Linked DNA regions of Lonchura striata. The protein of the gene in region 1 interacts with the protein of each later gene in a pairwise test. Links are inferred from orthologs where the notes say so. Each region holds a gene or a part of one and is shown in the gene's direction. Other genes may lie near its edges. The genes, in order: SDCBP, MTUS2, RIC8A and FTH1.

Region 1 (7,442 bases):
TGGAATAGTAGACAGGAAATTGGGCATGAACTGCCAACTGAACAGTGGAAAATCACTGACTGAATGCCATCAACCCTGTGGGTGTTATATTATAATGCTCTTACAAGTAATAAATAATAATATGAAAGTAATGTTATAATGCCCTTAAAAGGCAAGATCAAAAACATATGAACAAGGAATGGGGAAAAAAGTTACCTAGCAGTATCTAATATTATGTAAATTACTGTACTCCTGTAATGTAATCTCTTCTGCATAATTGGGTTTCATGCTGAAAATTTTGTTTTCACATGGAAAGTATAAAAATTCTGGTACATGAAGTCTAGAGGTACACCTCAGATGCAATGCAGCCCCACAGTTAATTAAGCTGCTTTGTGGTAAATTTGTTCTAGAAATACAAACATGTTTGGACACTCCTTTCACCTTACTTAGAGAAGGATCCGTTAAGTACCCCAGGTATGGAACCACCTTAATACAATTACTCTGTTTCCAGTGCTGACAGGGTGCTATCTTGCACAATTTGTACATGTTTTGAGTGACCAATTGTGGAATGGGTGGAGACCTTCCTTACAAACAAAAGCACAACCTGTTTTCAGCTTCAAAGGAGAAATGTGAATTTTTCAGTAATAATTATGTATTAATTTTGTTAAGATTTTTTCAACAGCTAAGACTGATACTGATCAGTGGGTGGTTTCTGTTATTCTTTGACAGTTGGCACTAGACCAGCAAAAAACCCACAAAGAGTACACTGATGATGGAAAACTATCACACTTGCCCGTAGGTATTCTAATTTAAACAAGCAAAGTCTAATAACTTGGCTATTTGTTCCACTTCTTTCAAACAATAGATGCACATACCTCAGGAACTAATCTAGAGCCATTTATTTGGGCAATTCTCCTCTGACTCCTTAGAGCTCCCCAGTATCAGTGGAGTTTTTAGAAAGACATGGCCTGGCCCTTCTTCTGCTTCCCTCCAAACTCCAGGACACAGAAGTATCTCCCTTGCCCCAAGTGCTCAGTTCATGTCACAGAGTGACTGAGGCACATGGCACCCCCTTCCAAAATTTGGTTTCCCTGGGAAAGAAACGAGATTAGACAAGTGGCTGGAATTGTCTTTGGTCTGTGTGTTTAAAGGATGAGGACCCTGAGACATGCTGAACTGCATAGATTAGACATACCCATTTTTCAGCAATTATCTTTCTGGTTTATTATGTTTTGTTCCTATATTTAAATGAACAAAGCTTTGTTTTTTTTGAGAAATTGAGAAAGCTTTTCAGTACAAAAGTATACTCTCTCTCCCAATAGCTGTTCTTAAGCAAGAAGAAACAGCCTTATGCAGTTTTTCAAAATCTTTATTGAAATCATGTTTCACAATACATTGGGAGATGAGGATGATTCACTTTTGATACCAAGGTGGATGTCCTGCAGGTGGACATGGTGCCAGAGCTACTGCCCATAACTTGGACCATGTTTGCTCTTAGATTATATACCTGCAATAGGGCACACATGGCATGCTCAAAAAGTAATAAACCACATGGAACCAACTATTTGGGCTAGGACATCATGATAAAGAAAATGAGCATCCATTACAGTCTCATGGGTAAGATCAGGGAGGGTGCACTGACAGTGCAAGTCAGATACCCACTGGAAAAAGCTCTGCCCTGGATTACAGCAGGCTATCTTGAAAGACCACAAAGAGATAAAGTAATGCAGAAAACAGCAAATAACAACCTAGCTTTCTAGAGAGAAGAAAGCTCTTTGCAATGAGAGGAGCATTCAACATCAAACTAAAAGAAAACACTATCCTTCAGTTGTCAGCACTGGCACCCAGCAGGATTGCACTGGAAAACTGTCAGTCACACACCTGCAATTTCCATGCTACATGAATACCACAGTGTCTTTGTTCTTCAGGGTGGGTCCAGGCCTTTACTACACTGACCTCATTTCAGGATGAAGAGTGGAACACTTTGAGCACAGTTTTAAAACTTTCACTGCACTTATGTTAAAATCTCCTTTGGCTACATAGAAAATTTAGCACTTCTAAAGACGTAATCATTGGTCATTATTAAACTAGAGGTAGATTCCCTCCCTTCCTCCTGGCCCAGAAGACTTGTAATACAGGATTTTTGTGAACTTATACCCTAAACCTAAGATTTCACTTCACATATATTTAATGACCCATAGCTGCATGACTCAGCAGCCAATGGTTCAGGTAGTGGCATTCAGGAAGGTTCCAGGTCTGGCTGAATATTGGATATAGAAACAGGAGCCTCCTGAGCAGCCAGAGAGTTGCTGTTCCTCTGTATTCAGCACTGCTGCAGTTACTACCCCAGCCCCTGTGGTGCTCACCAAAGATGCTGGCAGCTGGAGAGAATCAAGAACTGGAAAATACACTGCAACAACAACAGAAAAATATACATTGTAACAAAGTTTCTGTTTAGCTTAACTAAGGCTATTATTGTGCTCAAATGATGAAAAAGCCTGTTAGTGCCAGAGTGGATCAAAACAACCTTCCCTCTCATTCCCATTTCTCCTGCTTCCTCCTTTCTCCTGTTTCCAGCACACACTCCCTTGCTCTGGCTCATGCTTGTGCTTGAGAGAGCCTTTTATTGCCAGTATGGCTCACTAACCAGCAGAAAAGCATCCATGTTTTTTGGTGGAGAAATGAGTTAAGCTTTCTCTCAGAAGAGCTCAGCAACTGCTGGAACTGGCTGAGGGCAGGAGAAAGAAACCGTAGGTGGGAGCAGACCTCCTGCCTAGGTGCTGGAAGACTGCTCAATACCTCTACTGAATGCTCTTCCTAGGTGAAGAGAAGCTCTAGGGCACTCAGCACATTTAATTGTCTGTGTGATGAACAATATTTGACAACAGGCAAAGAATTGTAATGAAGAAGGGAAGACCAAAAATTGATGCTAGATTAGTTCATACTCTAAATAAGGCAAAGGCAGGTAATTATGGTAATTGATTTATGAAAACCTCTTTCCGAGCTTGTTCTGGGATTTCTCTGTTGCTGGTACACTTTACATCATGGTTTCTGCAGGGAAGCCTCTCCAGGATAAAAGCTCTGCTTCTGATGCCTGCCCGTGGGAGAAGGCTCAGGCAGGTGCTGGACCGTGGGACAGGTGATGTGGTCCACTCTGGCTCTGATGTGTCACAGCTTGCCCATCCATGGCAGACATGCAGAACAAGGCAGACACGAGGCCGTTAGTGGAGTGTGCTTTATTACAGCAGAAAAAAAAAAAAGGAAAATGAGCAGAAAATCATACTTTTTCTCCATGAGGACAGCAACTATCAACTAATAAAGGCACACAAATGAGTCTAAGGCCCTACAAAAACAAAGAAATCTCAGGGGGAGATTGATCACTCTCTACAGTTCCATGATTGGAAGTTACGCTGAAGTGAAGGCCAATCTCTCCTGCTGTCGTTGCAGTGAGGGGACCAGAGCAAATGGCCTTAAACTAAAACAGGGAAGACTCAGACACTTATATATATATATATATATTTTTTTTTTTTTTTCACTGTACAAGTGGTCAGGCACTGGAATGGGTTTGAGAGGAATAGTGGATTTGTCTTTACAAACAAGCTGTTGGTCTGCTAGTAGATAAAACTAGCACTGAGAGATAAAAAAAAAACAATGGGAAGGATTCCACTGACTGATGAATGGAAAAGGATATTTGCTTTTACCAATAAGCTCTAGGTTTGCTGATAAATGAAATTAGACATTGAAAAATGAAAGAAACAAAGGGAAAAACCCCTAAATCCCGTAAGAATTAAAAATTAAAAGGGAGGGTTATACATTAGAGGGAAATCTTTGGTATCAGGCGTATCGGGAACTCTGTACCTCTCAAGTACCTCAGCCAATGGGGAAAGAGAGAAGGGAAATGTGGCCGGGAAAATAGTATAAAAAAGGAGGCTGCATCAACCAAAAATTTGAGATACCCCTGGGGAATGTCCCATGACCTCTCCCTTTATTCGAATAACGTAAATGGACTCCTCTGTCTCCTTTTTGGACATAAAGCTCTGATGTTTGTGGATTAGTTTTCCTGACAAGTTGTTCAGGGAGGTGGTGGAATCAGCATCCCTGGAGGTGGTTAAGAGGCGTCTGGATCTGGCGCTGGGTGATGTGGTCGACTGGTTACAGCGATAGTGCCAGGTAGACGGATGGTCTGGATGATGTTGAAGATCTCTTCCAACTTTGATGATTCCAAGATTCTTCGTGAAACAAGCGGCCAGAGGGGAGCGGGGCACCGCCGCCCCGCAGCCGCGGGCAGCCAAACCCGGCCCGGGCGGCCGCGACCCCTTCCAACTTTGATGATTCCAAGATTCTTCGTGAAACAAGCGGCCAGAGGGGAGCGGGACACCGCCGCCCCGCAGCCGCGGGCAGCCAAACCCGGCCCGGGCGGCCGCGACCCCTTCCCCGCCGCCGCCCGGGCATGCGCGGGGCCGGGCCAGTTCCGCGCCGCCCCGCTCCCTTCGCAGCGGCGCTGCCGGCATCCGGGGGAGCCGCTGCGGCATCCAGGGGAGCCGCCCCCGCGCCCCTCTCCGTGCTGCGAGCCCCGGCGGACGGCAGCCAGCACCCGCTGGGCCGGAGGTGAGCGAGGGGCCGGGCGGGTCCGCTCCCCGCCGCCCTTTGTGCGCTCCGCGGGCGGGCATGGCGGGGCGGGGAGGGGGCGCCGGCGGCCCGGCCGTGCCGCTGCGAGGGCGGTGTGGGCGCCGCTCCAGCCGCGGGGCCGCCGCTCCCCGCAGCCGGCCGGGGCAAGGCTTCAGCCGGGCGCGGGGCGCTGCCGGCCCCGGACGGGGAGAGCAGGGGGATGAGGCCGCCCTGTGCGACCGTCCGTGCGCGGCCCTCGCCTTTGGAGCGCCTTCTGGGCCCTCGCTGGGGCTCCGCAGCGCCCGCGGGCTCGGGCGTTTGTCTCAATTCTCTTTGACGGGCCGAGAGGTGCTGCGGCGGTGCAGTGACACCACGGGCCTTCTCAGGCAGGCCAGCCCTGCTTCAGGGCTGAAATGGAGGCAGCAGGTTTCGGAGCTGAGCGCATAATGAGGGCACTTGCTCCCAGGCTAATTAGATATGTATCAGAAGGCGAATGCTGAGTTACTAATGGAGAACGTGTCTTACGAAACCGCTCCTCGGTTCGTGATGTCTCAGCCTGACTGACCTTCGGGAAGTGTTGTCCTCGGTCTGCTTTAAACATGAATTTCGGGGCTCATAAGCTTCTAATTTTTGGAAGTGGGAACCAATGTTCCATTATAGTTGCCAACATTGTTACCTGCTGTACTTTTTCCACGGGCTACAGGAGGAAAACATACGGGGAGGGGGGGTGGCGGGGTTTTGTTTTGGTTTGTTTGCCCCCTCCCACAGTTTTGGCTGCTGGTATTTTAAAAAACAGCAGTCACTACAGGCTGGCCAGATTGGGGTTTAGCAGGGCCATCCTGTGTTGGCGTTCATACTTTCCGACCTGAAGAATGAGTCGGGAAGCCGTCTCCTCCCAGGAAGGCCACCGAAAGCAGTTCGGGATCACTCCCACCTTCGAGACTTCCTGCTGGCAGGCTCAGGGTGTCACGAGTGACGCCTTTCATGCTTCTCCGATCCGTGCCCCGGTACTTCCCTCTGGCAAACAGGATCTCCTTAGTGGGACGTGCTGGCAGGAGGGCCCGACTTTCCAGCCAAGTGTACTGGAGAGGGGGGCGAGGTCTTTACTGCCAGGTTTTGTGGGTCGCCAGCTGAGTTACAGCCCATGCCCATCCTTTTGTTTTCATTTCTACGTCCCTAAACGCTTGGTCTCCTCACAGTATGTGCAAGTGTGGAAATGACTGGGGAAAGTGATTCTGATGTTGGTGTAGATTTTTAAGAGAGAAGAGGAGGTTGTAGTGACTCATGATTTGTGGTATCCACTCCCTAATGCTTAAAGCCGTTACAGCACCAGCTGAAATTCATGTTTATACTATGAAGAACACTGGACAGAAGTCGTGGACAAGTTCTTCCTGCAATTAAGGGTGGTCCCTGATGGTGTCAATTTTTACTTAGAAATCTTTTTTAAACTAAATATAATATTTTTGTGGCTCTCACACTATCTAACATAGGGTATCTGTGTTACCATATGCAAAGTTATGAGCTCACTGAATGCAATTACAGTGGTGACTGCTACTCTAGCTAATTTAGTTGGAAAACCAAAACCAGGAACTGGTGAGTTTATGATGGGGGAGCCACCCCAGCAGAACCTTGGTGACAAACACTTGGGTTTGTTAACCCTTTGCTGGGGAGGGGAGGCTGAGGGGGTTGTCAAGGGGCAGGATAAACTTCTGGAGTGTTCTCTAATGTAATCTGAACAGTAGTATAAGTTTAGCTTTGCTAATGCTTTTCTACAGAAAGCACTGTGCTCCTCTTTATAAACTGGTGGAAGGTTGACTGACGCTGTCTGTGACAAGTTACTGTTTGCAGAGACTGATCTGTGGAGGAGAAATAAAGCTGGCCAGGGTGCTCTATGGAAGTTGGTCACTGGGGCAGGGGACCTGGCAGTCTCTGTGCTGATCTCTGGAGCTCTGTGGATACTAGGATCACCACCTGCAAAGTGCTGCTGTTGCATCCCTCGTCGCCCTGCCATGGGGTGACTCCTTGGGAACACACTGTCCTTGGCCTGCCCTCTTTTGCTGCCCGCTGCCAAGGTTGTGCTGACTTTGAACATGTGCCAGTGCTGGGACCAGCACCTGAATCTACCAGGGCTGCTGTAGCACAGAAGGAGATGCCGAGTTTGATGCTGTGTGTACCTTGACTTGTGTGAGTGGCAGAATGGAGGATCCAGGAACCACTTACCTGACCAAGAGCTTTGGCTTATGTTTGCTATTAGCCATTCTGGATGAGCAAAAGCATTTCATAGTTTCAGGTCGATGCTGGATTAAAACAGAACTTCAAACTGACCTTAAATGCATGTGTTTAATTGATAGTTTTCAGGCTTTAACTATGCTTGGTAGACTTGCAACAGTTAATCAAAAAAGTCAAGGCAATTAATTATTGTAATATAACAGACCATGTGTTTACAGTTTAGATCTCTGGCACATTTAGAGCATGCTTTTTTTAAGTTTTAATTGCAGTTTGACATGATGCTGGAGCTATTGGGCACTGCTGAACAAACATAAAAGCTGTTAATGAATTTAGTGTAATATGAAGAGATATCTATTGTGTTACTGCAGTATCACATTATGCATCTTTGTGTGTGGTGTTCATTTAGAAATGGACTTTGTATCTGCACTTAAAGAAGCAATAGCTCAGGGATTTATGTGATGGTCACTTTCAGTCTCAAATTTTTGCTAAATTGCTACTTTAAGAAGAACCTCTTTTCTTTCAATGAGAAAATGAATCCCCAAACCAAAAACTTTAATAAAACTTATGTATTAACAATGTTCTCAATACCTTCTGTGACTTGAAAAACTGTATCACATTTTATTGTC
Region 2 (7,167 bases), on another chromosome or scaffold:
TTTCCTGGGCAAGACTGTTTGCTTTACATGATAGGTTTGCCCTGACTGCAGCCATTTATTTCTTATTAAAATAGCCAGACAGCATTCACAGATGAGAGAATTGGTTTAGGTGTAATTTACATAGAGCTCCCCTACATCTTCACAGTACATGTTTCTTTGGGAGGCTGTGTCAAGCCAGTCTGATGAGAAGAGCAGCATAGACAGAGCCAGCTTCTCAGTGTTTACTGGGACACAAGAGTTGTCCCACTTTACCTACACTGATAACAGTTTAAGTGACCCAGTCACCACTTGTGTTAATGGAAAAGTGTCTGTGTTGTTATAGCTATTCAAGACAAGAAGATACCTAAGTTAGTATCAGATAGCCTCATACTGGGACAAGTGTATCAGCACTAGAGTTTTACCCGGTGTAACTGAAGTTTAAGATGGCATTTAAATAAAAATAGCTGCTATGACTACAGCAATTACCTAAATTAAAAAACAGAAACAAAAATAAAACCAAAACCAAAATCCTGAAACAAATTAAAAACAACAACAACAACAAAAAACCACAACCCAAAAAGATATATAAAAATCACACTTTCAATTGCAATTTTGCTCATAAACTGTGTGCAGGGTAGACCTGGAAGGTTAAGGAAAAGTTCCCCTAGGAGACAGTAGTTTATGCATCTTACCCAGTCAGAGCTGGGCACCAGGGAACTGCCTATCTGTGCCCCCAGGCTGCAGCTCCAGTGCCTTCTCCTGTGCCCTCAGCAGTGCTTGCAGCCCAGGGGCTTCTCTGTGGACCCTTCATCATCCAGACCCAAGCTGCATCCTCTGTGGTACAAAAACCCTTAAAAAAATCTTCTGGAGCTAATAGCCTTTAATATGATGTTGCAGCTTTTGCAGCTTTATCTGAGCATAGGAGGAGAGGCTATTTTTTCCCCTGACTTTGATCATTCCCAGATAATCTGTAAAGCTGAACACTGATTGCGTCTCTTGCTTATTTCTGGAGAGAAATGAGCCTTGTGCAGCTTTCTGGCATCCCTAGCTTTGTATTTATCAGTAAGTGCTGCCACGGGCACAGACTGGCTATATCCATGTTGCACATTGCTTGATCCTAGACTCCCATCTGGTGCCCCTGTGGCCCCAAGACATTGGTATTAATGCAGAGATGTTTCCTTTTTTTTTTTTTTTCTTCCAAACCTATGCTGCCTGAGCACATATAAAGCTGTGCAGCAGCCCACAGGAATGGTGTTTTATTGCATGAAATAGGCTATGGATTGTATGACGTTGGGTGATAAATGAAGTTTATGGCTGAAAAACCTCCTGTGACAGAGCTGGCAGACTGTGTAGGGTGAAGGAAATGGGAAGCACTGCAGTCCCAACTCTGCTGCTTGCTGGGGACAATCCCTCCTGTATGGCACCCATAGGCTGTGCTCAGGCTACATGGCATTGGCCTTGCAGCGCACTTAAAATTAATCAGCACGGATGATCACCAATCCAGCTGGTTCCCTGGATGTCTGTCAGTACAATCAGAGCCACTGAGGTTTCCTGGTGCTTGTTTAAACACCAGGGATGAAGCCTGGATGTGCAGCAAAAGGTGCCTCCAGTGTGCCAACCATCCATGCTCTCAACGACAGGGAGGGAAGGCCTGGGGCGCTTGCCAGGTGAGCCATGGCCAAGGAGTGTGGTTATGCCATTCCCCAGTTCCATCATGTCCTGTCTGGTGTGCTCCAAGGCAGGCTGTCCCTGCCCTGGGCCGGGGCCTCCTCTCTGCCTTCTATTTCCAGCTCTATGTGTGAGGCTGTTCTGCCACCTCTCTGTAGCTGCAGCAGCTTGTTCCTAAACACATTGACAAAGTGGGTTCAGCTTGAAACTGCTCTGCCTGAATTTATAAAAGCCATCCGCCCTTCAGTTTCTCATCATTTTCTTTTACTCTTTGCAGCATAAACAGCTATTCTTTTGTTATGCCTTCTGCTTGTTGGAGCTGCATAAGAAATCTTTCTATAGGCTAGAGAACTCTCTTCCAAATGTTGAAGAAAAACAAGTTTATGTGAATTGTCTAGAGCAGATAATTTCAGTTCTGCACAAAATCTAAAAATAAAGCGAGGCCTACATTCTACAGCTAAGTAGCTTTTAATTAGGTGTGATAACAGCATGAGTTATCTTTTAGAGTGCAATAGTTCCATGATCAGAAGTCAAAAGAGGGGAGCAATGATTGTTTGCAAAAATGATTGAGGGAAGAAATTGAAACTGGCAAGTATCTGGGTTTTTTTCCATATAATAGATCTTTTCAGACTGATAAATATTTTGAGTTAATTTGGACTTTCTCTGTTATTGTCCCTGTTTTAATAGAGCCAGTGGATCCTTTCAAATACTGATGTAAAAGAAGGCAGTGAAAGCCTGCTAATTCCCTGTCATCAGTGGCTTCATGGTAATGCCTTTGGACAAGACAAATGGCACTGCTGTTTCCTAAAAATCAGTGGCTGAGGTACAGGATGGCTTCAATCACTTCTTCAGAATCCCCTCTCCTTATTTTAGCCATACATAAGCTCAGGGCTTGAACATAAATCATATTCTGAATTTTGAGCTGAGGTGCAGCCATGCAGCCATGTCTCCTGTCCCGCCTGCTTTGCTGGGAGGCAGGAGGGTTCATGTCCTAAACCACTACAGATAAACTAGCCAGTGCCTGGTTTGTCAGGGTTTGTCCTCCTTTGTGCCAGCAAGAGAGATGCTCTCAGTGACTTTACCAGCTAAGATCCTTTATCTTCATTGTCTTTGTAACTGAAGCGTAGCATTTAGTCCAGCGTGGTGTGGGGGAAGAACACAGCTTTATTCAGCAGGAAGACAAACCTTAAAGGAAGGTCCTTTAAGGATAAAAGACAACGTTATGGTGCCACAGGGATTGTACTTGGCACTTCAGATTGCAGACAGATGCAAGCACAGTGTGTTTGAGCACAGGCAGAAATAAGAAAGTTATTGTGTGCCTGGGAAATAAGGATATATCCTGTGACACTGACTGTCCTGCCGTGTGAGCCTGTAACACCAGCCTGACCAGGCAGGCCCTGAGAAAAGGAAGACTTTCCTCAATACTGTACTGAATCCCATCTGCCAAAGGGCCAGGCTGGCACTGTTATGTAGATAATGGACATTTCTTTCCATGTCTCCCTAGACTCCTAGGCTCTCTCTGTCTCATAGCTCTGTGTAAGCTCCTGGTTATTCTCCCGGTGTCTCCAGGCATCACTGCAGGGGCTCCCAGACAGGAGGATGCTGTGTATCATCTGGCTGGCCTCGCAAACCAGGAATCCCTTCATCACCCCCTCCTGAACAGATCCTCATGCATTTGCCCAGAGGACTTCATAAAAATTAATTGAGTTGCCCAGCATTAGACACAGATGATAAAACTCCCATCTGATCTCGTGCCTGCTTGCCGATTTTAACAGCTGATTGAAACAATAAGCGCTAGCTCACCGGGAATGTAACAATGCCCATAGAGAGAGCTGTAGCACGGGCTGTAGGTGCAGATAAGGCTGTAAACGCACAATAAAGATTCCCTGCCGGTACCACAGAGCTCTCTTTGCTACGGGAGTAAAACCCTCGGGCTGCAGTTTAAGCATAGTAAAAGTGATGGAGATTACCCTCCGAGTTACAAGTTTTGTTGAAAAGCAAAATTGTGTCTCTAGTCGAGTATTTATTTATTCGTTTTTCTATTCTCTTGCTCATTGTAGGGTGAAAGAGAAATGAACTCGGAGCCAAGGAGCACTGGAGGGCAGGCAAGCAAGGAGCAGAAAAGCCATACCACGAGCAAGTCCCTTTTCTTCCTGATGCCATCAGAGGCACTATTACACAGACGCTGACCCTAAACATTTCCCTTCTTCCCCCACCTCCCCCCCAAAAAAACCCCAAAAATCAAACATCCCATTCGGAAACCTAATAACAACCACCTACGTGCTTCCAGGGCGCTAACCTGGGAAATAAAAAACATCTGGGGAGCCACAGGCGCGCCCCACAGCCGCGCCGGCGGGCGCTGTCTGTGCGCGGTGCGCCGCGCTGCCGGCGCGTCTCCGCGGGCGCGGGCGGAGCGCGGGGCGCGGGGCGCGGGGCGCGGGCGGGCCCGCAGGGGGCGCTGCGGGGCGGCGTTGGCCGCTATAAAAGCCGGGCCCGTGCCGGGCCCGCGCCGTCCGCCCGGCGCGGCAGCGGCGGCGCGGCAGCGGCGGCGGCACCGGGGCAGGAGCACCGAGGCGGGTGAGCGCCGCGCGTCCCGCGGGCAGCGCCGGCTCCGCTCCCGCCTCGTGGGTGTGCGCCCCTCCCTGCCCCGCATCGCCCCGGGGCTGCGGTTGCTCCGTGCTCACCGCCCCCGGGGCGCCGGGAACGGGACATGGGCAAAAGCTCCGGGAGATGGGGATAGCTCCTGCGCGGACGGGGCGCGGCGGGGCTGGTGGCTGCTCCTGTACCCCTGGTGCGGGCAGGAGATGGGGGAGCAAGCGCAGCTTGCTTATCAGGGTGGATAATATTTGTGATGAAATCTGTTCAGACAAAAGTTCTAGGGATGCCAATAGCCGGACTGGCTCGAGCGGGCTTCGCTCTCCGTGCGCGGATCGCAATTGCCGGCTGCACGCCAGCAGCGTGCCAGCGGGGCGACAGTGCCGAGGGAAGCAGGGTCCCGGGAGGGCTGGGGACCCCGGGGCACGGCCGAGCCTTCGGCACGGGCCAGCGGAGGGCTCAGGGCAATGCCGGCAGCCCACGGGAGCGCAGGGCTGAAATGCTGCTATTACTCTCAGCCTCGTGCGTGGCATATAACAGCATCACAATATTTTTCCGAAAAATGATGGAAGGTAAAGTAGCTACTACGAATAAAAAGCAGCGTTTTCCTAAGGAGGGAAAGCTAAACGTGGGAAGATAGGGCAGCGAATTCAGGTCTTCCTACTCAAGTAAAATGCCTCTGCTTGAAGAGCTGTTCATCTAGATCGGTCGTTTCCAACTCTGTTTAAATGAGTACGGGTACCCTTTCCCTCTTTGCTTTATCCCCTTCTCTATCTTTGCCCCTGCTTCTTTCTCCCCGGTCCCCATCGCTGCCTCCCGAAGGTAACAGTGCAGAGGAGGCTTGTGTGCCGTCGCACCAGCCCGTACAGGTACCTGTGTTAGGGAGCCAATGATCCCTAACATTGCACTAAACATGAAAAGAATAAGCCTTGACATTTATAGTTGCATTAAAAACTGCAAAGGTAAAAAAATATAAACACCTCTCTGCGGGTCAAGCATTAGAAATATTTGCTTATAAAGCATCGGTAGCAAAATCATTTGCATGTCAAGTGTTTGCATGCAGGTTAACTTTGCAACGGATGACTGCATTAAGGAGGCACTTGGCAGCCGATGAGCTGGATGTAATGTGATGCATAAATGCTTTGTTTTGGTTCGTGTAAATGCTTTGTTTTGGTTCGTGTGTGATTTCATTCAGGGATTGTTTTATGCTCCCTACATCCAGTGCAGTGTTTGTGGGTTTTATTGTTTCTCATCCCCAATTTCAAGCAGGGTTGTAGGCTTTTCTGTATCCCATGCTACATAAACCCTTTACTAGGTCTGCCTGTTTCCAATGCAATTAAATATACCCAGCTACTTGTCTCCTATTTATGCAATCTGTTGTGGAGAGCAGCGCAGCCTGTGCTGCCGGAGAGCGGTAGGAGAGAGCTGCGTGTGTGCAAATGAGGGTTAATGTCTCATTCCATGGTGCCTAGCCTCGCCTTAATTTCTGGAGAATCAGCTCTATTTTAAGGTACAGAAGGGGGATTCTGTAAGCAATTCTTTCAGCGCTACACTGTGAGTTTGGAAATTGCTACCTGGGAACGGGGGGGTGGGGGGAGGGGAGGGATGATCGGATGGGACACAGAGAGAGGAAAATGTTTGTAGGGCTGTGTCCATGTGGTTTATTTGCAGTAGCTTTTAATATGGTACTGTGTTTCTCTGTATATTTGTCACTTTAAGGACAGAGGTGGATATTAGGCTATTGATCTAACAAATGGCAAGTGTAGGGTTCGGTCAGATAAATAGTTTTTCTCTATGGTAGCATTTTCTATCGTGGTACATTTTGTTTTAGTGATAGCAACTGTAACAAGTAGGAAAGCAACTTTAAACTCATAGCCTTACTTTCTGGAGTGTGTATTTTTATGTAAAATACATTTATGTTATAGTAAGCAATATTAGCTATTTAGGAAGATAGGAGAGGTGAGCTAACAGCAGAAGTGCAGCTGTAAAGCACATTAGAGGCTGTGCTGGCAACCTGGTAACCAGTGAGAATCAGTCCTCTCTCCTAAGTTAGGAGAACAAAGATTTTCATCTTGCAGTGTGTGTTCTCTGTTTCTGAAATTCATTCAGGAAGTACCAGAAGTCAGTGTAGGACAGAGTTACAGCCAACTCCACTTACATATGCACTCTCTGGAAAGTCACACAATGGCAGAAAAAGTTAAATAATACAATACAATAGAGACTCATACACAGTAGTTGGTTTAACATTTGATTGAAGGCTCTATAGAAGAAAAGATCTAGGCATAATAATGGATATCTGGGTGAAGATATTTGCTGAAATGCCAGCAGCAAGCAGTGCAAGAGGATCTCTGCTCCTCCTCCTCCCCTGTCCAGATGCTGAGGCTTACTAAAAAGACTATTGAGCCAGCTGATTTAGCAAATGCTTTCACTTGACAAGTACTGCATTTTATCAGAAGTTATTTATAATTATACTGACCTTGTTTAAATGCAACTATTACCAAACCTGCTGCAGTCAGTTTTGTCAAAGAAGTCATAAGCAGCAGAAATTGGAAAGAAAGTAGCAAAGGAGAGCAAAACTTCAGTGTATGGTGGTTTGTTCTTCCCTGAACTTTTTTTACTGCAGACTCAAAACTGATGAAATAGTTTTTCTTTAGGAAAATAATTCAGATGGATTTTTGTACAGCTTTGGCACTATCCTAATATAAGAAGCATCCTTGTGAACTTGGGAATGCTGTTGTTTTCTGTTGCTGGGTATACATTTGATGCTGAATTCTCTGGAAACCTGATTTGGTTGTTGTTCTGCCCTTTGCTATTATATGGTATCATCTTGCTATTCTGGGTTTTCCAGTGGAGAACTGGAAAGAGGATAAGATTCAGTGCTTCATCTAAGGTGACCAGAAAGATCTCCAGAGTTCAACAAATGCT
Region 3 (7,586 bases), on another chromosome or scaffold:
CGACTGCCCTCCATAGTCAGTCTGGGCCCCTCAGCTGCCCTGCAGGATCCCTGACTGTCTCCCCTGGATTCTCCCGGGATATGGAAGTGCTCTCCAGGAGCCTCCCCCGCCCTCCAGGGCTCCCCCCTGTGCCGTGCTAACTGCCTCATCCAGCTGCTGTGGAACACCTCAGTACCATTCCCACTCTGTGGGAATCAGGAAATAAAGAAACACATCCATAAGGTGCTCGAGACAGCCCTTTCTGGGATCTCTTCAGGATCCTGGGTGCGCGACGGTTGTGGGGACCCCGCGGTCCTCCCCCACCCACCGAGATCCCTCGTGACGCGGCCCCGCGGGGACATCCCGAGGCCCATCGGAGTCCCGGAGCCCTCTCCAAGGTGGCGGTGCCCGCGGGAGGAGTCTCCTTTTTCATACCCTTGTTCTCCATGCCCACCTTGTTCATGAACACCTCCGGGTCGAAGTGGGGCCCGTTGATGTCGGTGGGGTCCGGGGGCGCCTCGGCCGCCTCGGCAGTGGACGGGCCATAGTAGCGCTGCAGCGGCCCGTGGGGACGCCGCCACCCCCCGCCCCCGGTGCTCCCGCCGGTGGCCTCGGGGCTGCCTGCGGCCCCGCTCCCGGCCCCGCTCCCCGTCGTCACGGCCGCCATCGCGCCGCCGCTTCCGCCCCGGCAGCCACTTCCGGCCTGTCCATTACGTCACTTCCGGTGAGACGCCGGGTTGCCATAGCGACGGGGAAGCGGCGCCGGACATGGCGGAGCCCAGATCCCGGGGCCTGGGGCGGCTGCCACGGGGACGGGGCCGGCGCGGCCCGTGTCATGCTGCCCCACGGCGACAAGAATCCTCATTCGGACGCAGACATGGGTGGAGACACCGACCCTCGAGGGCTGAGCGGCCGCTGGCACCCTTAACCCCGGGCCCATGTCTCTCACTGTCCCTTTTCACCACTCTCCACCTGTCCGCAGGCCTCCCCAGTGTCCCGCGAGGCCCCAGTGCCTCCTCGTGCTCCTCTCCCCTCACACCGGGTGAGGTCCTGGGGACCCCCACCCTACCCGAGGGTGGCTCCAGGTGACGCTGGAATTGGGCTGTGAGGCTGCAGGTAAAACCAGGTGATCGACCTTGCACCTCGCACAAGGAACAAACATCTGGGCTAAAAGGTCTAAAATCAGCTTTATTTACAGCAGAAAAGGCAAAATAAACCCTGCCACGGTGAAGGCCAGGCTGCTCCAGGGGCCTTTTGTTGGGAGTCACCTGCTCCAGGAATCACAGGCCGTTGATTCTTCCCAAAGGAAAGAGCCCAGACCTGCCACGTTGCACCAGGAAAGCAGGAAGAGCCAGAGGAAGCTCCTGCTGCCTCTTTTGTCCTTGCCTTTCCTGCACGTTTTCTCCCAAATGTGGAAAAGAGAACACATAATCCAGCCAGGGTGTGTTTTGTGAGCAGTTTGGTACATGGGACAACATTCTCTTCATACCTATGGGCCCGAGTTAGCCCAAGGGCAAAGGAATTCCCACTGGGAACAGGGAGAAAGCAAAGGAACACCCAGCCATCCATCCATGAAGAGGGTTTGCTGGAGAGTCTAAATCAGAGGAGAAGGAATGGCTGAGCCCTGCCTGTTACAGGAAAAGAGAAGCAAATAAGCAAACACACCCTCCAAGGTAAAGCAGGGGTTCCTTTTGTACTCTCTAAATGCATAAACAAAACAGCAAATCCCTCCTTGGATCCCCCCACTCCCAAGAGCACTGCGGGGGGAGTTCCACCTCACTTTATTGGCACTACATCTCCCCAAAGTGCTCTAAAAGCAGGATGCCACGTTAACCACAGTTAACTGGACCTTCTGCCACCGGTATTCTTTACCCTGATTTAGTAACTTAATTTGCACATGTGTGGGAAGGTTCTGGAAGGTTCCACACAAGTGCAAATCCATGTGGTTATGGACTGTGGCCCTCCCTTCCCAGAGGGTCCAGCCTGGTTTGCCCACAAGGATGATAAAGACAACCAAGCCAGGATTTAATGAAAGTCCCGCTCTCCTGCATCTCTTCCCTGCTACAATGTGAGAGTATCCAGGCCCAGATCCATTGCTAATTCCACCCGGATTAGCAATGCACAAGTTTCCTTTCACAGTTTCCTTTCAGCCCAGGGATATGGTCTGCAAGTCCAAGGGAAATGGAGAGTGGCCACACGGAATGTAAGTCACACATTGGTACTCCCAAATCCCCTAAGTCAGCATCCTAAATCCTACAGCTCGCAAAGCTCAGCTGGGTTATGGAGTATCCACAAGTCCCTGGATTTGTTAGTTCCTGGTTTTGATCGAGGGAGGTCATGTGGAAGTGGCCCTTAGAAACAGCCCACGGGATGGAGACAAGGCAGGAGGTCACGGCCAGAGCCATGACCCCAAAATCCTGACAGACACGAAGATCCCTTTGGAGCCAAACTTGTTTTGGAAGAGCTGCCTGGGCCCAGCCGGAGCGCTGACAAGCTGGAAGGAGAAGTCACTGGGAAGGTGGAGGTGTGGCTGGAGGCTCCTCTGGAAAACATGTGGCCAGGTCTGTGGATGGTGAGGTCTGGCCTGTGCCACCTGCCAGCCCGGGCTCAGGTCCCCGCCCGGGACACCAGGTAGTAGAGGATGAAGAAGATGAGGACGAGCACCGCGGACACGGTGAGGAGCAGGCGGCGGTTGTCGCGGCCGGAGCGCGCCATGCCGGAGAAGCGCTTCACGCTGCCCGTCAGCAGCCCTGTCACGCTCAGGAAATCCGAGTCCTGGTGGGAGGAGACACCTTGGAGGCATTGCAGGATCATAGAACTTCCCAAGTTGTAGGGACTCACAATGAGCCAGTCCAGCTCCAACAGCACAGGACACCCCAACAATCCCAGTGCTGATTTAGGGCTTCTTCCTTAAGGGCTTTTGCCGTCCCACCTCTCATCCCAATTCCCTGATTTGCACAGAAAGCCCCGTGTCCCGTTTGCCAGGTCCTTACCATGCCATCCAGGTAGCGGTTCTGTTCCTCAGCATCCTTGTCAATATCCAGAGCCAGCTGCAGGGCAAGGCAGGAAATGGGCATTAATGAGCTTTTAATGTCCAGAGAACCTCTAAAATCTGAAATGCAAATTATTAAAACAAGCTGCTGCTTTCCCAGCTCCAACAGACACACAGGGGCTTGTCTGGTGCAGGAACAAGGAAAATGGCATTTCCCTGTCAGGTGAACTTTTTCAGCTCTGAAAATAAAGCCTGGCTGTCTAAATCTGCCAGCTAGAGAAGGTAGTTTAAACCCTGGGACACAATGGCAGGAATTCAGCTTGCCCTTTTACACAGTGAGTCATCAACTTCTTTCATGGTTTGTACTACACTTTTAATAATAATTTAGAGCTTAAAGCTCTAAATCAAAGTGTTTGATGTTAATAGGAGCAAACCAGCATTAAGAACAGTTACACAGAGACACAGGTATTTTCCAAAATTAATCTGCCTGCCTTTTTTCCATTAATTTTTCCCCAAGGATGTGAGCTTAGCAACACTCCTGTGTTCAGGTTAGGCAGGGCTTGGAGCAACCTGGTCTAGTGGAAAGTGTTCCTGTCCATGGGAAGGGGTGGGACTGGATGAGCCTTAAGGTCCTGTCCAACCCAAACCTTTCCATGGTTCTGTGATCCCCTGCAGGACTCCCAGGTAATCAGAGCCTGTCCTTCACCTCAACACCTGCTGTGACCTCGGCACTCACCGACTTCAGCCTGGTGACCTTGCTGGCCAGGCTGTCGGCCATCCGCTTGTTCTCCACATCCAGCAGGTCCTCCATGGCGCTCGGGCTCTGCCCTGGGGAGAAGAACGAGGAGCACACATCATGCCTGCCGTGCCACAGCACAGCTCTGTTCCCACCACAGCCCCTCCACACATGCTTTGTGCAGTGGAACCTTCTGAAAATGTGACCAAAACACCACAGACTTCCCCCAAACAGGCCAGGGTGAGAAGCCAGAATTCAGGGTATCTGAAGTGCCACCCCAGCCCAGCAGCAGCTGTGGGGGTTCCATGGCCAGTGACATCCAGGGGTGAGATTTGGGTGAAACCCGGGGCCCTCTGCCCCTCGGCCGTGCTGGGGTCTCTCGGCATTGCCCCCATTGTGGGGCAGGTTGGGGCTGGGGGGGATTAGGAGTTCTGGGGCAATTAGGGGCTATGGGGGCTCTAAGAGGTATTTAGGGTTTATGGGGGGGGGGGGCTTAGGGATTCATGGGGACAATTAATGGATAGAGGGAGCAATTAGGGGCTCGGGGGGGCAGCCCAGAACCCCAAAAAAGGCACAGGGAGGCAATTAGGGCTTACGCGGTGGGGGGGGTGGGGTGTTATTCCCGGGCTATAGGGGGAGAAATCGGGGCACTGCAAAACGCCCCGCGGGGTTCAGTGGGATCGGGAGTTCCTCCTCCCTCCGAGCCGCTCCAGCCCCTTCTGCCCCCCAAACCTGTCGCTGTCCCTCGTCCCCTCACCTCGGCCCCGCTCCGCCATGGCTGCCCCGGCCCGTCCCGCCCCGCCGGGCGGAGCCGCCACGAAATGTCCGCCCGCTCTTCCTCCTCCTCCTCCTCCTCCTCCTCCTCCTGCCCCCCGGCGCCGGGACCCTCGGGCCGCTCGCCCGGGCCGGGGCGGAAGGGCTGGAATTCCCTCCCGAGGGATCCCGGGCCGCAGGTACGGCCGGCGCCCTGCCCGGGCACAGCGGCGGGACAGGGGCTGGGGGAGGAAACAGCGCCTTGCGGGCAAAAACCGGGGGGTTGGGGACAAATATAGGGCTTTGGGGACTAGAATAGGGGTCTGGGGGCAAAAAGAAGTTTTGGGGAAATAATCAGGGGTTTTGGGGGTGGGGAAATAGAGGTTTAAGGGGAAAATAGGAGCTTGGGATAAAAATAGAGGTTTGGGGGGAAATAGGGGCTTGGGACAAAAATAGAGGTTTGGGGGGGAAGGTAGGGGTTTAGGGATATAAACGGGGTTATGGGGACAAAAAAGGAGGTTTGGAATTTACTCAGATGGTGAGGGAAGGAGGTGGCAGTAGGAGTATGGAAATGGGGATATGCCCAATGATCCGTTGGTTAATGTCATCCCTCCAAAAGCAGAGGTGGATCCCCTCCATCCCAGCCCCTGCACATGGGGATGCTGCCCCGGGCCAGCCCAGCCTCCTGTCTCCGCAACTGTCCGCCTTCCAAAATGCAGGATCTGCCTCTTTTGGTCCCCCCAAAACGCCCCTCTGGGGCTGCGTGGGCAGGAGGGGACAGCCCGTGTGATTCCCAAACCCCGGGAACCCTGTGCCTGGGATCCCGGTTTGTTGAGGTTGGTGTGACCAGCTCAGCCTCATCCTCATGGCAACACGGAAGCCGAACACATGTCCGAGCTCAAATCTGCTGGATTTCCCCCCATGGGAATCATGTCCCAGCGCCCTGGGCTCGCGTGGCTCCGTGAGCCGCTAAACCGGTGCCGTGTCCGAAATAATCCCGCGGTGCTGCGCATCTGCTGGCTGGCACTGTCGGCAGGGACATCCTCGCCCGGCGGTGGCCTGCAGGGATCGGCCATGATCCAGCCCGCCACCAAACCCTCCTGCTCTGCTTCCCACCGCCTGCAGCCGGAGGATGCTCTCCCGCCTGGCTGCCTCGCCGCTCCGTCCCTTGTCACTCCGCGGCAATGTTTCGTGCTTTATTTGTTATTTTCCCCCTGTGCGGCAGCAGAAATCAGGGCAGGCGGGGAGGAGGAGGAGGAGGAGGAGGAGGAGGCAGGGAGCTATTTCAGGGAGCTGCTGTTATCTGCTCCACGTTAATCTCCAGCTGGTGGGGGGAAGGTTTTCCCTGAGTGCTTTCCTGCGAGGGCATATATTAAACATTGAAAAGCAAAGCGAGGAAGAAGAGGATTAGCAGGAGAGAGAGAGAGGAAGTTGGCTGCTGGCTTTGCTCGGGTTATCCATCTGCTCCACTTTTATGGATGCAGCAGTGTGAGCAATATCACTTGGGATTTTTTTGTGTTGTGTTTTTTCCCTCCTTGCTCTCTCCACCCCTTTCTCTCTTCCCTCTCAGAGGTCTGTGTGCCGAGCTGCTTTTCCATCACCCTGGAAATCCCCTTGCTCCTCTTCTTCTGGGGCTGTGCCATAGCTGAGCTGTTGGGATAATGGAGCTCCAGGCTGTGGTGTCCACGCTGGAAAGTGGGGAGCAGGACACGGTTCTCAAGGTGCTCCAGGTCTACAACCAAGAGGTGAGTGAGCATCAACGCTTCCCTCATCTCAGGAACTCCTAAAAAAATGATTATCAAGATCCCAAGTAAAGCCTGGCCTGGAAATAAGAGTCAGGGTGAGGACTGAGTAGGAGGAGCTTTTATGTTAAGGTAGTTTTGGAGGTGCTGAGAGAATCCAGGGAGGGGCTGCAGGTGAAACGATGTTGGGATTTGCAAGTCAAAAGATGATTGGAGGTAACTGCTGGGATCTCATATGGGCATGGCTCTGAAAGCAGTAAATAATGAATGTAGAATGTAGAATATCAAACCCCAATGATCTGGAAGCAGAGATGGAAGTGTTTCTAGCCTTAAAGTAGGAAAAGATAATCCGTGGTGGTAAATCTCTGCTTGGAGAAAGGAGACTGAGGGGAGACCTCAGCCATTTACATCTTCCTCCTGAGGGGCAGTGGAGGGGCAGCTCCAGTGTCTGCTCTCTGAGCAGTAACAGGACCCAAGGGAACAGCTGGAGATGTTTAGGTTTTATATTAGGAAAAAGTTCTTCCCCCAGAGGATGTTTGGGCACTGAACAGGCTCCCCAGGGAATGGGCACAGCCCCAAGGCTGCCAGAGCTCCAGGAGCATTTGGACAGTGCTCTCAGACACAGGGTAGGATTGTTGTGGTGTCTGGGCAGAGCCAGGAGCTGGACTGAATGGATTGTGTGGGTTCCTTACAGCTCAGGATATTCTATGGCTCTGTGAAATCCTGTTTGAAACAGACTCTAGTTGTCAGAGAAACTCGGAGGTTTCCCCTGAGAGGGGCTGGCCCTGTGGATCACTCTGACTCACTCTGCACCAGGCTGGAGTAGGTGGAAGCCAGCAGGGAAAACCTGAGGAATATTTTGCAAGAGTGTGTGAGAGAGGGAGTGTGTGGAGCTATTCCTAACAGTCAGATTTGGAACGGGGAGATATTGGCCAAGAAGGAGCAGGTGTCTGTTAAGGACAGCACTAAGGATTAACAGCACCAGCAGCAGGTGCAAACAGTGTCTGTGTGCCCCCAAACCATGATATTTCCTGTTGGAGTCCCCCAGCTGGGTCCTTCCTGGGGTATTGAGCCTAGGGAACTGCAGCCACAGGGTTTGCTGGCCTGTCTGGAGGAAATGGAGCAGTCAAAGAGGATTATGAATCTGCAGATAAACCTGGCACTGCCTGGCATTGCTTCTGCTGCAAGACTAATGGTTCTGTACGCTTTTCCTCTGGATTTGTTTTTAATTCACTGTTGTGCATGCAGTTTTTGCTTGCTGGGAATATGCTACAGCTAAAGCAAAACCCCAGGTGTGGCCAAAATACCCCCAAATGGGATTACAGCCTGAAAAGAGGATGTGCTGAGGGAACAAGCAGCCTGCTTGTGGAACACGGCAGTGGCA
Region 4 (7,958 bases), on another chromosome or scaffold:
CCTCGCTGCTCCACAAGCAGCACAACTTCTGTAGGCACAACTTGAGCCCCCTGAGCTGCTTTTCAGTATTTTTACTTCAGTGCCAAGGGCCTGAACGTGGCTTAGGAGGAAGTTGTACCCAGCAGGAAAGGTGGATGTGGGTGTGGACCCTGTGGAATTGTGGCTGCACCTCTGCATGAACCACAGGAGTGTATTCAGTGTCCCCTCCCAGCACAGCACAGCAGGAATAAGCTTTTCCCAGACAAAACTCTCCTTCTGCTGAGAACATCCCTCTATATCAGCTGAATCCCTTCACTTCTGAATAAGCTATGGAATGAGTTCCTGGAGAGACCTGCTCAGCAGTTTGGGGGTGTCCCCCACCCATCCTGCCCAACAGAGATCAGCCATGGGCCACTGCTTGTTTTTGTGGTGTTTTATCAGGCTGTTGCATGTCCTTTAACTGCCAGCTCCTTGTAAAAGCTTGTTTCTTCTCCTTATGCTTGAAAGCATTTGCTGCTCGTCCCTTTTTTGGGTGGCTGAGTATAAAAGCAGCCTCCTCTGAGGGATTTAGTGTCTGCTCAAACTCAGTGCTGCACTAAATCCAAGGAACAACTTTGTGCATCCTTACAAAATTACCTGATGGCCTCAGGGGGGACAAACCTGTTTGTCTCTTTGATTCCCAAGTAAAACTTCTTTAAAAAAAAAGTACATTTCACCCTTGTGTCTAGAATTAAAACTGCCTGGTCATCCATGAGGGCTTCAACACCCACCAGTGTTTTCCAGGGGAATTCATGCTCAGAAGGAGGTGATTTTTGTGGTGTGTTGAGAAATTTCCCCATATTTGTTGACTTTAGATGTGTGGTCTATTTGCAATTTTTGTACAGTATTTGAAGAAAAAGTTCAATACAACCGAAACAGGGGACAGGGATGATCCCCACCCCCTTGTTTTTAACACTGTGAATCTGGGAGAGGGGAAAATAAAGGTGGATGGCACCATGGGAGGATCATTACAGTAGAGCAAATGTTGTGGATTGTGGCCTGTGGTGGAATGTCAACATCAAACTTATTGTGGCTTTTGCAGCTTGGCAAATCCGTGTTGTGAAAGCTCCTGTACATGCACCTGGGCCATAGGCTGCCTTTGGAATCTGGGATGGAGTTTTCCCCTCACAGATAGAGGAGTCAGTCTGAAAACTAGTTTAAAAAGGGATAAATCATCCAAGTAAATTCCAAACCAGATCCTTCTTCTGGCTGTACTGACAGAATTACTATATTATTAACATTGTTCTTCCTCACTCTCTTGGCTCTAAGTGTATTTTTACAAGGCTTGTAAAAGAAATAAAAATAAATTAAAGAAAGGGTGTTCTGGGCAAATCAGAGAATTGCAATCTCCTACAGCATTTTGTTTAGACTGCTGTAAAAATACTCCAGAGAGAAAAAAATCCTATTCACAACTTAGAAGAAGTTTGTCTGTCTAAAGAGGGTTTTATACTCCTTGTCTATAAAATCGTGTAGTACAAAGCTGCAGATTATTCTGTGTTTGGACTTTTTTCCTGCATAAAAAACAGCTTCATTTTCAGTCTCCAAAGCAAATTTCCCTCCATAACTTCCAACATCCTTTGTCTGTCTCCCTTTGGAGAGTGTTTCCAGGAGCCAGCAGCTCTGTGTACCCCAGGCATTTGCATTCTGTGCTGTAAGTACCCAGTGAAAACTTGTTGCCTAAATCCCAGGTTTCCCATTTGGAAAAATTCAGGCACCTAAAAGAAACAAACTGAAAAGGTTTCACCGAGTGTTTTACCCAAGGAGCGACAAGAAGGAGTTTTCAGTTAAACTCCCAGAGCGAGTGGAGCCCAGATGTTTTCAGTAAACAGCTTTCAAAACTCACAGTTGAGACCAGTGTCAAATTTCCAGACGCATGATCAACCTCGGAGCCAAGTTTAGAGTTGCTTTTGTGTTTGCATAAAGCCTGGAAGCTGAATGACACTGAAGTTTGTGGATGGAGTGGAAGCTCTCCATAACAAATATTTGACTGGATGCAGTTTATCTTATTTACAAGACTTTGAGCTTTGGAAAAAAAAAAAAAAAAAAAAGTTACTGTATTTTTGTGGATTTAACATTTGAGGCATATTCAGCACTTTCTTGCTCACTGGAATTGGAACAGTTGTTGATTTTTAACTGGGATTTGTTATTATTAAGACCATTAAACCAGCACGGCAAAATCAAGTGTTTTAAAGCTAGAGGTAAACAATTTCTACAGGTGAGAAATGAAATTTATGCATTCCTGGGCATTCTGGCTGTCTGCTCACACCAAGGCAGCCCTCTCCCTGAAGTCTAACTGGATGCCTAAGCCACATGCCAAGGCTTTTGCTCAGGGACTGTATCAAGATTTACTTTGGGCAAATACTGCCCAGTATTTGTTTAGGAGTCCTGTTTTCTACCCCTTTGGAAAGGTCATGCACGAGAAGGGCACGGGTGGAGTCAGGTTAAATGATACTAAAGAGGGAGTAGGAGGCACGGAAACTTTTCCTTTGGGTATATCTTGATCTCTGACCTAATAACTTTCTGTATCATGTGCAGACACTCACCAAAGAAGCTCTGATTATTTTTGCATGCTTAAAACTCAGCTTCACTATCCCTAAATGGGTGGATTTTGGGGTCTGTGCCCTGTGTAAAGTAGCGAAGCTGTAAACAACAAGAGAGCTTGCTCCATTGTTCCTGGTGGGATATCATCCAAGGAAAAACAGGGATTGTCTTCAACAATTTGAAGCTTGTGTAGGCAGACAATACATTGTTTTTGCATGTGGGCAGCATGAACATGCCTCTACTTCAGCCCAAGAAAGCAGCTGAGAGGGACATGAATTCAAAATCCACACACCGCCGCTGCCGAGAGGATGGGGCAGGCCCTGGGCAGCTGGGAATGTTGAGGGGTAAAAAGTACTAAAATAAGGAAAGAATTTCTCCCTAAGCAGTAAAGAATTTTTTTTCTAGAGAGCTTTACAGGCATTCTTGGGAAGAAGCCTGCTAAAAGCATCACCTTACTCAGGCTGGGCTTTCCATCAAGTGATTTTCACATTTAGGAGGGAATTTTACCCTGCGAGGGTGGAGAGGCCCTGGCACAGCTTTCCCAGGGAGGCTCTGGCTGCCCCTGGATCCATGGAAGTGTCCAAGGCCAGGCTGGACGGGGCTTGGAGCAACCTGGGATAGTGGAAGGTCATGTGGCCTTTGCAAGGGTGGAACAGGATGATGTTTAAGGTCCCTTCCAGCCCAAATCATTCAGGGATTTCATTATAAATGCATTTTCACCAAGAGCAGCACAAGATAAAAGAAGGCCTAAACAGAGCCATGAGGAAACAATATGAACTGGAGTCAAAATTAAAACAGTAATTTGGGACAGGAAAGATGTGGGAATGGCTGAACTGAATTACTGGTGAATTCTTCACCTTGGTTACCAAGACATGACCCCCATGGCTGTGCAACCCCGTGTTTCCTCTCTTGACCATGTAAATCTGCTGTCATCAAACACAATGTGCATTGTGCAACTCCAGAAAGCAGAATTTGGGACTTCCCTAATCCTACCGACGTGTGATCATGAGTGGCACAGACTGTCCGAGCTGCAGAGGAAATATTCCCGTTACAAACTTTGCAAATATGGATCTTGTTTGATGTTCCTGTTGTGAAGACACTCCACTGTGAATGCAGAAATAAAGAAAAAAAAATTTAAGAAAGAGTCTGCCCAGCAGCTAGTCTTTGTTTTTTTTTTTTTTTTTTTTTTTTTTTTTTTTTTTTTTGTTTGTTTTTTTTTTTGTTTTTTTTTTTACATAAGCATTTATGTGGGAGGAGAACAGGAGATTTGAAATGTACCTGGCAGCCTGCTGAAGCATAGGTATGACCCATGTTAACTTATAGATCTTAATTACTTGTGATGGTTAACCGACAGGAGCAGCAGAAAACCCTGAAACAAAGGGAGGCCGAGGCTCCCTGTTCCCTCCAGGGCATTTGGAGTGTCTGGAAAAATGCTCTGGTACCCTTTACCCACAAACAGGCACTGGTGCAGTCACGCATGGGACATCCCACAGTGCTGGGAAGGGTCAAAGACCGGATAAAAATGTGTAAAAAAACTGGTGAGAGAAAAACAATTATTTAATCTGAGTTTATGGTCTGAGTACATATAGGAAAAAATAATTAATCTGAGTTTGTAGGCGCAGTAGGTAGAGGAAAAATTATTTATTCTGAGTTTACAGGTTGAGTAAATTCTATTTCTGGTGGATTTCAGCAGGAACATTGGCTTGGGAAAAAACAGGGTTAAATGTGGGCTTGGGAAAAGCCAAGACTGGGGATTCAGTGCTATGGGATGATCTCAGTTTAAGCATTTTCTAGTCCCTTGTAATCTGGTTAAAATTTAAGAAAGCAGATACTAAGACTTCAGTGCTTATTGAAAATTAATGACTGAACTGAATGACTGAAGAACCTGATGTTTATTGAGAATAAATGATGGCACACACTGAGTGACTGGGACAGCACTAAAAGCAGCTGAAATAGTCATCCCATTACCAACACGTTCGGCTTTTGACATTTGGCCTTAATTTCTGGCTTTAAATTGGACTTTGGGAACTTTTTCCCTCTCACGGAGAGGGCGCTCAGGCATTGGCACCCACCGCCCGGGGCAGCGGCGGAGCCCCCGTGCGCGGAGGGAGGGAGATGTGGGACACGGGCGGGCTCGGCAGCGTGGCGGAGGGGGAATGGCCGGATTTGGTGATTTTCCGGGGGTTTCCCAGCGCCGGCCATTCCGGGACGGACGGCGCGCGCGCGCGGCGGGAAACGGCGGCGCGCGGCGGGAAACGGCGGCGCGCGGCGGCCCCGCCCCGCGGTGGGCGTGGCCTGGGCGGGTGCTGAGTCACGCCGGGCCAGCAGAGGCGCGCCGGGACGCCGCGCGCCCCCGCGGGGGCGTGGCCTGGCTCGCGGCCGTATAAAAGGCGCGGCGGCGGGCGGGCTGCCCTCACAGCGCGTCGGCGGCGGAGCGAAGCGGGTTCCTGCGTCAACAGTGCTTGGACGGAACCGGCCGCGCTCGGGCCCGCCGCCACCCCTCCCTCACACCGCCGTCTGCACAGTCACCGGAGCACCCCAGCCATGGCAGCGCCCCCGTCTCAGGTGCGCCAGAACTACCACCAGGACTGCGAAGCCGCCGTCAACCGCCAGATCAACCTGGAGCTCTACGCGTCCTACGTGTACCTCAGCATGGTGAGAGCCGCGGGCGCGGCGGCGTGAGGGAAGGGTCCTACGTGAGATAAAGGGGCTGCATGAGGGCCTTGCTCGGCGGGGGGTTCCTGGGCGCCGGGCGGTGCCTGCGGGCCCAGCTCCTCCTCCTCCTTTTTCTCCACCTCCTCCTCCCCCCGCTGCCTCCAGGCCCGTCTGGGCCGTCCCCTGGGTGTAGGTGAGGTCCTTTTATCTCGCCTGCTCCGCGGGGCCGTTGCCCTTGGCGGCTCCGTTATCAGCCGCGCTCAGCGCCTCTGCCCTTGGGGCCGGGCTGGGTAGCGGGAGGTGCCTAACGAGGCTCCTGGCGCCTTTCCCGCAGGCGTGCTTGCCTCCCAGGCTCGGGTTTTCCTCCAGGAATCGGTAGGAATCTGTGGTTTTCTCGGGCCCTGTGTTTACACGTCTCCTATGGCCCGAGGCGCCTGTTATAGCTGTTCCCTGACCTCTGTGCAGCAATCCTGGGGCTTTGGGCGTGCTGGGACATTGAGACTTCCCAGTGGCACTGTGCTGAGTTGTGGCATGTATTTTATAGGTTCTCTTCTGTGTTAGTTTGGTTCTGAGCCCTTTTTTGAGCTTCTTTTGGTGGGTGGCAGTGGTACACAAGCACCGGTGTTTTGCCTCGAGCCTCCAGGCCGCTGGTCTAAGAGCAGAGTTCTGGAGTAGGTCGGTAAATAATTGGCAGTTCATACAGAACTTTGCATTGAATCCTGGTAATGGCTCTAACCAAGGAATAAACAAGCTGTGTCACGGCTTTTGACTGCTGTTACAGGGCGGTTTTCTTTGTTTTCAGAAAAGTAATTTAATTCATATTTTAGTTGCAGTTGAATTCATATTGTAGCTCAATTTATCTCTTGTATTTTAAATGCGACTTTTTTTCCCTCCTGCAAAAAAAGTAGAAAGTGTATTCCTTATTCTAATCCCTGGAAAGCCTAGTGAAGCAAGAGTTTTATTGCAGGAGTACCTAAAGTTCTTGGCTCACCCTTACCTGATGTTGCAAGTCATGACCCTGACTTGCAATGTGATCATTGTAAACAAGCTCAGGCAAACAAAGGGAAGATTTCTCCTTGAAAAAGGCCTTTCAAGGCCGCTGTTTAATGGTGCTCAGAACAGGTGTCTGTGGAGGTTCAGGGTTCTTTTGTGTTTTTAGAGCTGAGCCAAGGACACAAACACCATTTATTTGTGCCCTTGGTAGAGGTACAGGTTAAAATTTAATGCTAACTGGAAAAATCGAATGATACTTCGGGGAGAGTTGTTCCACACTGCCTTTCTGGCCTGGCCTTGGACTGGAGCAGAGGTTTAGAGCCTGTAAACTCTTTATTTTTCAGTCCTACTATTTTGACCGGGATGATGTGGCCCTGAAAAACTTTGCCAAGTACTTCCTGCACCAGTCCCACGAGGAGCGGGAACATGCTGAGAAGCTGATGAAGCTGCAGAACCAGAGGGGTGGGCGCATCTTCTTGCAGGATGTCAAGGTGAGCTCGGGGCTGGCCCCAGCTGGGAGGGGATGAATTTTCCTCTGGGTCCTCCCCAGAAGGAGCAGCAGCTGACACTGGGGAGGCACAGCAGTTTGAGATGTGGAGCAATTTGATTATATGTGCTGATTGACTAATCAAAAAGTGTAAGGAGAGGGTGCTGAGCCCCTTGTTGTTTGCTGTGGGATGAGGGCAGAACCAGAAGGCAACTGGTTCATCGCCATCGTTAAATTTAACACAGAGCAGATGTGCTCTATGCACTGTTTTGAGAAGTGGGACTTCAAGGGTTTGATCAGTTCTGTTCTGAGGGTGCTCTTCAAACTTTTGACTTTGCATAAATGCCTAAACTTGATCTAAACAGGCTTTGAGAGTGATCTAAAGCTCTGCACCCTGCTGGTCTGTGGGTTCTTACAGAAAGCATTGCCTGTGCTTTCCCCTTGCAGAAGCCAGACCGTGATGACTGGGAGAATGGCCTGACTGCCATGGAGTGTGCCCTGCACCTGGAGAAAAACGTGAACCAATCACTGCTAGAGCTGCACAAATTGGCAACTGAGAAGAACGACCCACATGTAAGTGCATGCTGGGGGTCCAGCATGGCTGGCCAAGGATGCAGCTTTGGGGCTGAGCTGTGTGTGCCTGGTGTTGCTAAAGGTGAAAAAAGGTGTGAACCAGGGTTGCAGCCCTTCCAGAGTCCTTTGGTGGAGTTACTGCTGTCCTTCCAGGAGCATTTTTAAAGTGACAGGGACCTGCTTTATTCCTTCTGTGGTGTCTGTGAACAGTCTCTATGGAGACCATTTCTGAGGGGGTTGAGTTCCATCTTTTTAAGGCTTTTTGTCACAAGGTTTTTTTTGCCACAAAATTCCAGAGTTGGTTTAGAATATTAAAAGCCCTGGTGTTTCAGAACAGTATCTGAAAACATGGAGTTCTTTGTAGATGGAAGTTTTTGGCAAGGATGGATTGAGGTTGCTTAATATCAGGAAGAGATTAATATGTGTGAAAGTCCAAGCACTCTTGGGAATGTCCTGCCCAAGTTAGAGGGACTTTCTGAAACAAAACCAGTGGTATAAATCCCCACTGCTGTGAGTTTGCTGTGCAGTGGGGGTGTCTCTGATCTGTTCAGGGGCTTGGCTAATGCTTCCTGCTGTGAGGAAGAGGAGAGGCTTCCTGAGCTGCCTGGCTCTACAGGGTTCTGGAGCATGTGAGCCTACCTAAGCCTGGCTGACTTCGATCTTGTTCTGCAGCAAAACTAGAGGCTGCTTC

What was found.
Region 2: the proteins of SDCBP (region 1) and MTUS2 interact in binary tests that used the Homo sapiens proteins (3 or more experiments, as listed by UniProt). The two-hybrid records come from large-scale screens. The link is inferred for Lonchura striata from reciprocal best matches to the Homo sapiens genes SDCBP and MTUS2.
Region 3: the proteins of SDCBP (region 1) and RIC8A interact in binary tests that used the Homo sapiens proteins (3 or more experiments, as listed by UniProt). The link is inferred for Lonchura striata from reciprocal best matches to the Homo sapiens genes SDCBP and RIC8A.
Region 4: the proteins of SDCBP (region 1) and FTH1 interact in a two-hybrid assay, tested with the Homo sapiens proteins (2 studies listed by BioGRID and IntAct). The two-hybrid records come from large-scale screens. The link is inferred for Lonchura striata from reciprocal best matches to the Homo sapiens genes SDCBP and FTH1.

What each region holds. Positions count from the first base shown.
Region 1 is NC_134603.1:38,160,871-38,168,312, reverse strand, and holds the start of SDCBP (syntenin-1), read left to right. Parts: upstream 1-4,431; 5' UTR 4,432-4,587; intron 4,588-7,442. UniProt on the Homo sapiens protein: Multifunctional adapter protein involved in diverse array of functions including trafficking of transmembrane proteins, neuro and immunomodulation, exosome biogenesis, and tumorigenesis.
Region 2 is NC_134604.1:68,699,024-68,706,190, reverse strand, and holds the start of MTUS2 (microtubule-associated tumor suppressor candidate 2), read left to right. Parts: upstream 1-4,155; 5' UTR 4,156-4,224; intron 4,225-7,167. UniProt on the Homo sapiens protein: Binds microtubules. Together with MAPRE1 may target the microtubule depolymerase KIF2C to the plus-end of microtubules. May regulate the dynamics of microtubules at their growing distal tip.
Region 3 is NC_134608.1:53,231,495-53,239,080, forward strand, and holds the start of RIC8A (chaperone Ric-8A), read left to right. Parts: upstream 1-4,573; 5' UTR 4,574-4,660; intron 4,661-6,030; 5' UTR 6,031-6,121; coding exon 6,122-6,205; intron 6,206-7,586. Other genes in the region: VPS51 (vacuolar protein sorting-associated protein 51 homolog), read right to left, coding at 434-646; BET1L (BET1-like protein), read right to left, coding at 2,587-2,754, 2,973-3,029, 3,708-3,799, 4,465-4,483.
Region 4 is NC_134608.1:54,089,727-54,097,684, forward strand, and holds the start of FTH1 (ferritin heavy chain), read left to right. Parts: upstream 1-4,956; 5' UTR 4,957-5,103; coding exon 5,104-5,214; intron 5,215-6,551; coding exon 6,552-6,698; intron 6,699-7,141; coding exon 7,142-7,267; intron 7,268-7,958. UniProt on the Homo sapiens protein: Stores iron in a soluble, non-toxic, readily available form. Important for iron homeostasis. Has ferroxidase activity. Iron is taken up in the ferrous form and deposited as ferric hydroxides after oxidation. Also plays a role in delivery of iron to cells.